2 linked regions of the Danio rerio genome follow. The protein of the gene in region 2 interacts with the protein of the main gene of each other region in a pairwise test. Links are inferred from orthologs where the notes say so. Each region holds a gene or a part of one and is shown on either strand. Other genes may lie near its edges.

Region 1 (8,965 bases), on a different chromosome or scaffold from region 2:
ATTGCTGTTTGTGCAGACACAATACTATTTAAAACAACATTTCATTTTGTGATTCCAAAGCTGAATTTGTAACATACTTTCTCCGGTCTTAAATATCACAAACCAGTTGTAATACACACTTTTGTCCTTCTTAATTGTCAAGTTGAATTAATTTTCAGTTCTGAATGTAGAAAACTACTATTCCTACTTGAAATTTTTTGTGGAAACTGACATTTTTTGCAAGATTTTTTGAAGAATGGAAGGTCCAAAAGATCACTACATATTTGAAATATTCATATTTAACAATAGTTTTAAACAATGAATGCATTCTTTATGAATAGAAGTAATTATTTCTTTTTTAAATAATAAAAAATTTAAAATCGTATGCCAAACTGTTCAATGGTAGTAGTAGATCACTTTTACTGTACCACAAAAATGAAGCAAATAAATAAATAAATAAATAAATAAATAAATAAATAAATAAATAAATAAATAAATAAATAAATAAATAAATAAATATATATATATATATATATATATATATATATATATATATATATATATATATATATATATATATATATATATATATAAAAATAAATAAAAAGGTTGTGTTTTTACATTTATTCTATACTGGTGAACGCTACATTTGAATAAAGTAGTAAAAAAAAAAATCCTTTGATTAGTGTTTTTCCACCCCATAATTACGACTTCTCTTCTCAGAACTGTAAAAACCAAATAAAATTAAAATGGTGATAAATGTAACTTGCAATTCTAAAGGGGTGGGGGGTGTATACTCAACTGGAGTCAAAAAAAAAAAAGGAAAATTCCATATTTATAAAATGTTAGCACAAAATTGCAAGTTACAAACTCGATTACAAAGTAATAGCTTACAAGAAAAAAAGAAAATTCAGAAATGCAAAAAAAAAAAAAAACAACTTAAAATGTAAACTTGAAATTGTCAATTCTGAGAGAGAAAAAAAACCTATCAAAGTTATCAGCTTGTAATTCCACCATAATTGTTCTTTACAAGCAATTGAACTTATGCCAAACAACAACAAGCTTCTAGCACTTATCTCCACTCATCTCTAGAGGTGGTTGTGTTTTGTCCAGCAGAGGTCAGTCTCACCTGTTCCCTCTGCTTCTCCCGGTGCTCTGTAGCGATGCATACGCAACACATGCTCAGAGATCTCCTTATCACTGTCAGGATCCATCTGATCCAGAACTATGAAGAGCAGATCAAATCTGGAAAGCAAGGAATCCTGGAGCCCGATGTTCTCCATGGGGGTCTTATACTGGTCATACTTGATAAATTAACCCAATTGAACACATTAGAATTAACAGAATATTAAATTCTCAATTCTTAATAGAAAGTACTTATACCAGTCAAGCCACCAATCAATATTTACCCTTCCGTACACTGGATTAGCAGCAGCTAACACACTGCAGCGAGCGTTCAGCCTTGCCTGAATCCCAGCTTTGGAAATGGTGACCCTGCCCTGCTCCATCACTTCATGGATGGCGGTTCGGTCCATGTCTGACATCTTATCAAACTCATCAATGCAAACCACACCTCTGTCAGCAAGCACCATAGCTCCTGCCTCCAGACGGCGCTCACCTGCAACAGCCAGAGGAGAACAGGCACAAATTCATTCTCAGCTTCCTTGCATCATGCTAAATTAAAAAAGAAACACTGCACTTTTTTGGAAATAGGCTCATTTTACAACTCCTGTAAAAAATTTTTAAAAATCCATTCAGCGGATCTCCAGGTCTGGCAGGAGCATTTTTAGCTTAGCATAGATCATTGAATCAGATTAGACCATTAGAATCTCACTCAAATAATAAAAAAAAGTGTTTTGATAATTTTCCAATTATACACTTGACTCTACTTATTCTATTCTTGAGTTACATTGTGTATTGTGGCTGCTGCACTTACAATAATATTATGCAGGGCTGTTACCTAGTTAGCTGTGGACTATTTTCAAGCACTATGTAATATTGTGTTTGCTTCAGGCATGGTATTGAATCAAAGTTCCTTGATTATTATGCTGGATTGAGAGTATAGTTTTTAGCCACATTGACCTAGAAAATAGCAACTTCTTATTTTCTGTTGGTTTTACAACACGCAAGTCGATTCTTTATATATATATATATATATATATATATATATATATATATATATATATATATATATATATATATATATATATATATATATATATATATATATATATATATATATATATATATATATATATATATATATATATATATATATATATATATATCCAGACTGACTGAATGAATTAAAAAAATAATAAAGCTCAGCTGTTTAACTCTACACTCTCAAGAAATAAAGGTACAAGAGCTATCATTGGGAAAGTACCTTTACATATTTGTACCTAAAGCAGCCTTTGTGGTACCTCAAAGATACATATCAGTACCCAAATGCACCTAAAATGTACCTTTGAAGTACTAATATGGACTTTTCAGGTACAAATATGTATCTTTTGTAAAGGTACTTTCCCAGTGACAGCTCTTGTACCTTTATTTCTGAGAGTGTAGAGTTAAACAGCTGAGCTTTATTATTTTTGAATTCATTTAGTCAGTTTTGTTACCTTTTAGCCTCGCATAGACCATTGAATTGGATTTTAACTCAAAAATAAATAAATAAATAAATAAATAAATATAATATCTTGTACCTTTATTTCGTATTTCGAGTGTATGACTTGTAAAAATGAGTCTAACCAGAGCAGGTTGGGCTTAAGGGTTAGTTAACAGCCGGGCTATGTACAGTATGTGTCCCTGGACCAGAAAACCAGTCATAACTGTTATTTTTGTAAATCGAGATTCATACATAATCTGAAAGCCAAAATAAATAAAAGCTTTTCATTGATTTGTGGTTTATTAGGAAACATTTATTTGAAAATCTGGTATCAGAGGGTTTAAAAAAAAAACTGAAAAACAAAAAAGCTCAAAAAGGTGAAAGAAGAAATTAATTTGATACCTTTACAGAAGGAAATTAAGGGTAGAAAAAAAATAAGATGAACATGACAACAACTAAAAATTAAGTGTTACCTGTCTCCTGATCAGTCGTGACCGCCGCTGTCAAACCCACCCCAGATGAGCCCCGTCCAGTGGTGGGAATTGCTCTTGGTGCCGTGAACAAAACATACCGCAGCAACTGAGACTTTGCGACAGAAGGATCACCTAAAAAAATACAAAACCGAAACTAGTGCACTTTGCAACTACTAAAATTTCTAATTATATAAAATCTATAATTTATATTTAAATAGCTAAAAACTAAAATACTAAATATTTTTATTCATAAATGTTTAATTTATAAAGGTCAATTTACAAATATAAATGAAATTTGAACAGTAATACATAATTTCTGTACAATATTTTATAGAAATACATCTATAAGTTTAGATGTACATCAAATTCATTATTTTTATACAAATAACCACAGAGATAACTTCTCTATGTCTTACAATAATTAGATTAATTTCAAATGAGTAAACAGTTATAAAGAAATCAGAACAAATTTACAAACATATAAAAACTAATAAGGATATTTTAAATGATTTAAATACTCTAAAATTAAACCATATGCAGACCTATGAGCAGAATGTTGATGTCTCCTCTGATGCGCGTCCCATTCTCCAGGTTGGTCTCATTGCCTCCTAGCAGCAGACAGAGAATGGCCTTCTTTATGTACTCGTGGCCATGAATGCTGGGGGCCAAAGACCGACTCAACTGCTCGAAAACATCCTGAAATGCACAAACACCGTAGCAAGGATGACACCCATCAGGACTGAGTTTTAAAAGGAATTGAAAGGCTTTTTTTAAGAAAGAAAGAAAGAAATAAAGAAAGAAAGAAAGAAAGAAAGAAAGTAAGAAATTTTTTTTTAAAGGTAGAGTTGGTCAATTGTTTAAAAAAAAATATGAAACAGATCAGTAAAAGGGGTCATGGCATGAGTTTTTTTTTTGTTTGTTTTGTTTGTCAAGTTGTTTTAATACTTGTTAATTTGGTTTCAATAATGCTATTTTTAACAATAAATGACATGTATATGCAGAAAATCCATGTTCAATTTTTGTGAAAAGCTCTGATTTTGAGGCACGGGTCTTTTACTTAGGCGGAATTGGGTGGAGCTTGTATGCTGGAGGCAGTATGCAAATGAACGTACTGTGACATCATATACCATTGTGTTCCTAAATTCATTCTTACAGCTTGAAGAAAGTTTATAACGATATTCATTTTTCAGCAATTTTTAATAAACCTAGGAAAATAGATTTTTCACACCACGACCCTTTTAAAGTCATCTTACTTTCGAATGCGCTTTACAAAACTTCTTGATCTTGGCGACATCATCACCAGAGAAGGTGGGTACGATCTCCTTACTCATAAGCTTCACATTGTTAGCCAATAAGATTGTTCTGCAGAGAGTCAAGATGTTATTCTGAGGGGATTCAATATTGATAACTGTAGGACTCTGAACAAACAAACCTGAAGGTCCCTGAGGTGAAACCGCCCTGTTTTGCGGGCAGGCAGCGGTAAACACCTACGATCTGCACGCGGTCACCTGGCTTGACCCGATCCACGAGGTCATCATTGGCAATGATGTCGACAGAGCGTGGCAGTTGTCCAGCGGGGGCTTTCTCTGGCATCTCCTGAATGGTCAGTGTCTGGTGGTCTTTATAGCAGCAAAGGCCAAACTCTGTCTCCAGAGGATTGTTTTCTTCATCCTATGTACAGTAAAGTACAGTAAAAACATTGACAGGATGTACAGAGAGACCATCATCCATGTTTGAGGTAACAAGAAAAACAGATGCTAATGTGATGTGCATGAATGTAGACAAAATAGTTAAAAAAAAAAAAAAAAGTTTTTTAAAGTCCACTAGAGGCGTTTGATTATTTGATACAAATAATTAAATTAAAATTTAACTAAATATTTAACACATATTTAAAATGTAAACTATTTGACTATAAAACAAAAAAACAACAACAAAACAATCTACTTATTTAAAAAATGGAGTTAGTAATTACATTTATTATTCACATTTAAATAAAAAAAATTAGCTTTGAATGAAATTGACTTGAACTGAATTTAAATATAGGTAAATATTTACAAAATGCATTATGTTTCTTCATAAGTATATGGAAAAATTAATAATTAATATATTATTATTTACTGAAATATTCCTTTTATTAAACTTAATTTAAATTATTTCATTATGTATTCAACAAATTTAAATGAACTTAAATGTAAAAACTTTAAACATTTCAGTAAGTGTCTTGAAATAGGCATCATAATACAAGCTTAATAAATTATCATTTTAAATATTCACTAAACAAGTGTATGCATGTATTAACTTTAAACAATTTTAAATAAATTATTTAAATATCAAATTTATGGTTTAAACTCTTAAAATTTGAAGTTTATTCATTTAAATATGTAAACAAAGAACAAATAAAGATGTTAATATTTGTGCCTGTAAATATTACATTTAATTATCAAATGTAACCATTAAACATATTCTCAACTGACAGAGAGAAAGACAGACAGACATAACAAAAAAAAAAAAAACATACTACTATATGTAACCCCGCTGGTCTTAAACCACCCAACCCGCTCCAAGCTGGTATCGAACAGGCGACCATTCGCATGGGAGTCGTTTGCTCTAACATTTAACGCCATTTACAGTAACTCACTTTGGTCGGATAGATGGCACTAGAAGGAAAAGCATCCAATGATGTCAGATCTGTATACTTTCGTTCCAAGGTTTTCTTGGTAGCTGGACAATAGTGGACACTGCGCATAATCTTAGGCCTCACCAAAGAACCTACAGATGGAAAGACAATGAAGACAACCAAGTGGAATAAACATGCACTTGTACACATTTATATCCGATATAGAAATAATATGCAACGTGCATATTCAAAGCTCTGATAAACAATTTAGAAATCAGCGTGTAACATTCTGAACATTACTTTATCTATGTGAAATGACAAACATCAAGTATAGGCAGTTAAATGAGCGCTTACAGGAATGTTTCACCCAAAAAATGTATTTACTCAATTTCTCACCCTCACATGCTTCCAAACCTACACTGAAAAAAAAAATTCAAAGATGATTCCTTGGATTTACTAAATTTTCTTACGTTAAGTGGTCGTAAACAATTTAATTGTGTTGAATTTAAACAAACAAATTAAGTTTAACATGATTCAATTTAATTTATGTGTTTAAAATCAACACAAACAAATTGTTTGCAACAGTTCTGCATGCAACACCTTTTTCAATGTACGAGTTTGTTATCATCTTTTGTGTTCAAAACAATATTTAAAAAAAGAAGCTGCAAGCATGTAACCATTGACTTCCATACTAGGAAAAATAAATATAAGGATGTCACAGCTAAGAAATATCTTCTTTTGTGTTGAGAGAGAGAGAGAGAGAGAGAGAGAGAGAGAGAGAGAGAGAGAGAGAGAGAGAGAGATTTAATTTTATTGCCATTTCAGCTTCTATGGCTATGTCATGGCAAAAATACAATACATCAAGTTTATCACATTTTATAAATACCAATTTTTTTATAATTATAAATATATTCTAACAATTAAAAGTAATCAACAGCAATAAATAATGTCCACGGTAAAATAAATAAATAACAATAATGATAATATATAAGATAAAAATCTAAAACAGTTTATTAAGGTTTCCTTTTGATAAAAGTTGTACAATTTAGATGGGTTTTTTTGTGTTCATCTAAAATCAGATGGTCAATCAAGTTTGGAACAAGTGAAGGATGAGTAAAAGAGAACAACATTTTCTGTTTTGGACGAAACAATTGCTTTAATAAGTAATAAGTAAAGTAAATCTTACTCACACTTGGTCACGATGCCTTCCACACACACAAGGTTTCCCAGAAAGCGAGCACTCAGAGTACGAGGAGACACATGTTTGTTCCCAAAACTGCCCTCGAAACCAACATGAAACTCCTCAAACTGCTTAGCATAAGTGGCATCTATTGAAGCCACGAGATCCTTCAGGGCTTTCTGAAACGCCACCAGCTCAGCGAAAGCATTCTTCAGTAATCTATTAAAAAGAGACACTTAATCAGATCAATAAAGATTCAAGGATATACACTCAAAATTACATTTGCCGCTTCCACTACTTATTTAAAATAAGCTGAAACAACACAATTCAAGCTTTTTTGGGGGAAACCTAACAGTTTTATGTTAAATCAATATCCATTTGTAAAAACTAATAGGTTAACTTATTTTCTTCGAGATGTTTTAACACAAATTGATTGTGTGAAATCCAGCATTTTTTACAGTGTATGGGAGAATGGGGGCAACATGGGGCAGTTACAACAAGACTTATTTCTCCATTAAGGAATGAGCTATGGAGGGATGATATTCATACTACATATTGTCAGTTGGATCCTTCTTCCATCCAAGAGAAATCAGCCATATGTGACCATTTCTTCAGTCTAAAACTCATTTTAGGTATTTAAAAAAAAAAAAAAAAAAAAAAAATAGTTTTTTGTAATGATCAGAAAATTTCTCATACAGCCCAATCTGTTTTTGTGAAACATTATTCATTTGTATAATTTAAATCACTGTTTTCATAGCTTTAAATAGGTATAGCTATCAAGCGTTTGTAACAAGCTATTGTATCTCTCTAGCATGGAATGTTTAATCAAGGTTGACAGAGTTGCTGAACATGCTTCTGTAACTGTCCCCAATTGTTATAAAATTCATTTGAAAGCTTGCCATATTAACAAATGTACAATTTTATTGATCACAGTTTTAATATAATTTGAAAAAAATATTTGATTAATTAATTCATGTCAACATTCTTAGTAGTAGTTTGGTAAAGGTTCAATCTTTCAGTAAAAAAAAAAAAAAAAAAAAAAGTTCAGTTTTTTTAGGCCTTATAATTGGATGTTGCTCGTTTTTTTTTTTTTTTTTTTTTAAGGTTTTGTATTTATATGGCCAACACATTTAATAATTTAACCAATTTTCATTTAGTGGGTTTACCAAAAAATAAAATCCAACTCGAGGTTTTAGATTTTTTTTAAATTATAATTTGAATGAATGTTGCAATTGTCCCTTTCTTTAAGTAATAAATGAAGAATTTATTAACATATCTACACATATTATAGCAATATGGGTGCCTGTCCAACAGAAGTGAGTTTATTGTTTTAAAATTTTGGGGTTCCACAAAAAAAAAATAAAATTGTCTTCGAGAAACTGAAAGAATTGCAAAAAGTGTTGCAACTGTCCCCACTCTCCTCTACAGAGAATTTTCATCACACATCATCAGTCAGCCATATTGGAAACACAGAACGTAAACAATGTGACTGAACTGACTGAGAATCATATTATTTGCTTACTACTGCTGAAAATGATCAATTGTTTTGGGCTTTGCTATTAGATTGTATTAGAATACTGAAAGCCATGTAAAGTCAAGCAGAAGAGAGAAAAAAAAGCTGTCTGAAGAACAAAAAGTGTTTGTGGTTGACCAAACTAATTCACGATTTCCATGGCAAGAATCTTGATAACGTTCATGTTTGTTCTTATAATTTATGCTCAAGCGAGTGTAACATTAGGCTAATCTGGTCAAATGTATCCTTTACCACATGTTAAATCAAAATGCTACACCATATTCTGCTTTAGTAAGTGATTTAGCAGCTTCCATGTTTTTTTTTTTTTTTTTTGTATATTTTAGACAGCAGAGCAACATATAGTACATCAACCATGCTGTTTACACCAGAGTTTCACATGTATCTGGCCACATGTTTGTTACTGACCAAATCCCGAAGAGCAAACAACGTTAAAGAAAAAATCTAAAATTGTCAAAAAAGCAAAATATGAAACAAAATAGACAACTTTTAATCAAATTAATCACTTACTCTTTAGCTCTTTTTTCACTTTTTCTTCTCAGATCATTAATGTTGACAATGAGACGACACTGTCCATCAG
Region 2 (3,978 bases):
CTAATTTTAGAGTGATTTCTGAAGGATCATGCGTCTCTGAAGACTGGAGTAATGAAGCTGAAAAATCATCTTTAAAATCACTGGAATAAATGTTTAAATTAAATGATAAACTACTTTTGAACATTTATTTTATAGTGCAATAACATTTCACAATTTTACAATTTGTACTGTATTTTTGATTAAATAAATGCAGCGTTGGTAAGTAGGAGAAGCCTATTTTAAAACGTGTAAAATCCTACTGACCCCAAACTTTTGACCGGTACTGTACATTTATTAACATTTTTTTTTAAATATTTACAGTTCACAGACGTTATTTTTGATTATCTTTGGGAAATTAAGTTTCATCAAAATTGTAATTGTATTTAAAGATTAAAGAAAAGTTATGCTGAATAAAAAGTGTATGCTGTTATGTTTGGCTTTTGACACATTGTTTATAATATGCGGCTAAGAAATAGCTATTTGCTTTTTTTTTTTGGTGGGGTCAGTAGAAATTTGACACAGCCAATAGAACAAATCCTTAGCGTTGAACCCTGGTCTACATTCTAAAAATTTAAATTTCAGCCATTTGTCTTAAACATATAGTGATATTTGTTTACATAATAAAAAAGTAACCCTCTGCCCTGTATTAATATTTCAAAAATATTTAAATATTATTATTTATTATGCCCTGTGTAACCCAAATGCTGTGATTTGTAAACTTTTCACAAAAAAACATTCACTTTAAAGAACATAAAATTCCTCTTATTCAAAAGACCTCAACAAGGTAACAAAATGACTTTTTAAATATTCCATGGCATATCAGTAGCTTTATATATGATATTTATATTGGTCTATACCAGTTGAAATTGATACTATTCAGTTGTGTCTTTTTAATCTTCTTAACATTAAGATTATCTTTGCCATCTTAAAAAATGCTTTTAAAATAAACTACTAATTTTTATTAAACTCTTGTTATATGCAATCTGCTGTTAAACATAACAAATTTCCTTGTAGCATTTAATTAATTTTTTTTAACATCTGAATTTTAATATTGTCAAAGTCACAAGAAAAGACTTACAGACATCTTCTGCTTTTTTCGAAACTAAGGAAGCCTGAGGCCTCAGAAGTGCAGTGGCCAGATCACTAGATGGACCAGGCGGATCTGGTCTTTCAGGAAGATTATCTTCTCTCTTGACTGGGCTCACTTTGGATTTTAGGACGTCAGACATTGCAACACGGAAGAGCCCTCCAGCCATGACACGGCTTCTCAGAAGTGGGCGTTTGGCAGGTTGTCTTGGCCCGTCTGCTCCAGTTTCACTGGGATCACTTTTAGCTGCATCTGCAGGCTCCTCTTTCCGTTTCATACCAAAACTCACAAAAGCTGTTTCCCCTCCACTGCTCTGCCCATCACCCGTTTTATCTTCGGTTCTTACAGTTTTTGGGACCCCAAAAGCAAAGGGTCCAATCCCAGTACCACCAAACGCAGGCACTTTGGTGTCTGACTGAGGTTGAAGGCTTTGGGGTGTGAAGCTGAAGGTGGAGGGAGTCGTGGGCTGAGAAGCAGATGTACTGCTGCTGGACGGGTTGGCAGGTTGAGAGAAGGTGAACTGAATGCTACTGCCGCCACCACCAACTGTCTCCTTTTGTGAAAAATTAGAATTAGAGAGAGAAACAGAAGGAGCTGCAGCCGGCTGAGAGAAGCTGAAGCCCAGAGCGCTTGGTTTTACGCATGAAAACAGTGAACCACCAGAGGAATTATCCACCACCTTAGAGGATCCAGCAGTTTCTGAAGCAGAAGACATATTCGTGCTTGTTGGTTCCGGACTGACACTAAAAATAGGCTTGAAGACTGCTTCATTTGGTGGTTTGAAAGAAAACTGATTCCCACCTGTGGGATTCTCAGCCCTGCCGCTTATTGAGGAGATGGATGTTGCTGCTGGTACAGGAAGACCAGAGAGCTGACCAAAACTAGGCTGACTAGTAACAGTGCTACTGAAGCTGGTTGAGGAGGACTGCGAGACATAGGAGGGAAGGCTGAATGCAGACGGCTGACCGAAAGCTGAGTTCTGAGTCTGTCCCGTAGCTTGAGAGTATGAAGGTGGTGGTGGTTGTCCAAATCCAAGTGTGCCCCCCTGACCTAAACTTGGCTGCCCAAAGGCAGGGTGTGTTCCCAAAAAGGAAAATGATGATGTTTGCCCCGATCCTTGAGATAACCCGCCGGTTTGGCCAAAAGTGGGTGTGAAGACTGGAGGCTGTGGTGTTGGCTGAACAAAAGCTGGCTGACTAAAAGCAGAAGGTTGGCCAAAACTAACACCCTGTGTTGGTTTCTGCTGGGCAAAAGTCTGAAATAGGTTTCCAGACTGATTAGTGTTCGGTGCCTGAAAGGCAGCTTGTGGTCTGCCAAAGATGTTTGAAGGATTCATAATGGATGAGGCAAGAAAAACAATCGTTAAGATTTAACGTTACTGATCTGATCGTGAGCTAGTCATTACCAACGAATCCTGCAAAACAAAGACAGAAAAGTTACCAATGTTTTACCATTTTATCTATTAGAAGTCACATGACAGAAGTTATTAAATGTAAAGTTAAAAGCTCAAGTGGGACATCGTTAAAAACAAATGGCGATCTGAGAGCTGAATGCCGATTACTTGTTTAACTCCAAAACGAACTACCTAAAAACCTATAATATGTGTATGTGTTTCAAGTCTATATTTTGTACGCAAAAGTCAAGCACATTTCAAATTAAAAAGGAGTAAAAACTGTAAATACTTTAGCGACGTCCTTTTCTTACTCGGACCGGATGTTTATTTCTCTTCTTCGTGAACTGGCGCGTCGATTCAACGAGAGTCTCTGGCGACTGCGGCGTGTACAGGCAGGCAGGAGCATGACAACATTAGCGCATTTCTCCATTTCATTATAAAAGGCTGAATAAAAGTCCATTTCGCCTTGTGGAAATATTTTTAACGCATTCAACTTGCTAAATATTTTAAATAAACAATATATGCAAACACAAAAAACATATTGTACTTTTTTCTGGAAGATACATGGCATGCTTAATGTATTCCACAATAAAAATAAGACAAGCTGTGGACAATGAATTTGTGTTAATGCAAGTCTTCAAAAAAAAAAACTTAATTTGTTTGTCTGATAATTCATTTGCAAAGTACAGTTAATACAAAATGAGCAGATTGTCAAGAAATGCAAGAAATGAAAGTTTTGCAGTGAAATGAACAAATATCCACAATTCCTGTTTCTCCAATAATGAACAAGAACACAGACATTTTGAATTCATTATAAAGTTTAATTGATTTTTACATCTATAAAATATTTTCATGGCTATTATCAGAATGAAATAAATATTATTGAGTGACAAAGTATATTCTTCATACTCTTGTACAGGGTCTTTAACAAAGAACAGAAGAATCATATTCAGTTAAAGCCGTTGACAAATTCACATGAATCACTTCAGCTGATAATTCCTTATGTACATATGCAGCTCATGTCTAGTTGAGCTATGTTTCAGTCTTCTGTCTCTCCACAAAGTGCAGATTGACCTTTTTGTTGGGAACAAGCACTGAACGAAAGTTTGCCTTAACTTCACCTACAGTCGGGTCTGGTCGCATTTCAAACAACTTGATTAGCTGCAATTAAAAACACAATCACAAACAGCACAATAATAATGCAATGTCACTGTCTGACACAGAACTGAAAAATAAATCTCACCCTTGCCAAAGCCAGATGCATTTCCAGTTCAGCAATGCGACGACCGACACAGGCTCTGACTCCAAATCCAAATGGGATTGACCCAAACGGGTTTGGTCTGGTTCTGCCGTCTCGCAGCCAGCGCTCAGGTTTGAACTTCTGTGGTTCTGGGAAGACTTTTTCATCGTGGCTGATTGCATAGTGGAACAGATTAAATGTGGTCTATTTCAACAAACGAAAAAGAAAAAAAATAATTGTATTTAGTGATGTTGATTACAAAATGGACAACATTTTGTT

What was found.
Region 1: the proteins of mcm3ap (region 2) and mcm3l interact in a two-hybrid assay, tested with the Homo sapiens proteins (2 studies listed by BioGRID). The link is inferred for Danio rerio from reciprocal best matches to the Homo sapiens genes MCM3AP and MCM3.

What each region holds. Positions count from the first base shown.
Region 1 is NC_133195.1:6,678,696-6,687,660, forward strand, and holds part of mcm3l (MCM3 minichromosome maintenance deficient 3 (S. cerevisiae), like), read right to left. Parts: coding exon 8,896-8,965; intron 7,074-8,895; coding exon 6,865-7,073; intron 5,827-6,864; coding exon 5,696-5,826; intron 4,729-5,695; coding exon 4,490-4,728; intron 4,420-4,489; coding exon 4,311-4,419; intron 3,754-4,310; coding exon 3,600-3,753; intron 3,190-3,599; coding exon 3,058-3,189; intron 1,598-3,057; coding exon 1,389-1,597; intron 1,284-1,388; coding exon 1,109-1,283; intron 5-1,108; coding exon 1-4. UniProt on the Homo sapiens protein: Acts as a component of the MCM2-7 complex (MCM complex) which is the replicative helicase essential for 'once per cell cycle' DNA replication initiation and elongation in eukaryotic cells.
Region 2 is NC_133184.1:40,169,496-40,173,473, reverse strand, and holds the start of mcm3ap (germinal-center associated nuclear protein), read right to left. Parts: upstream 2,801-3,978; 5' UTR 2,771-2,800; exon of another isoform or gene 2,749-2,770; intron 2,481-2,748; 5' UTR 2,403-2,480; coding exon 1,058-2,402; intron 1-1,057. Other genes in the region: cyp27a1.4 (cytochrome P450 27A1.4), read right to left, coding at 3,492-3,620, 3,703-3,903.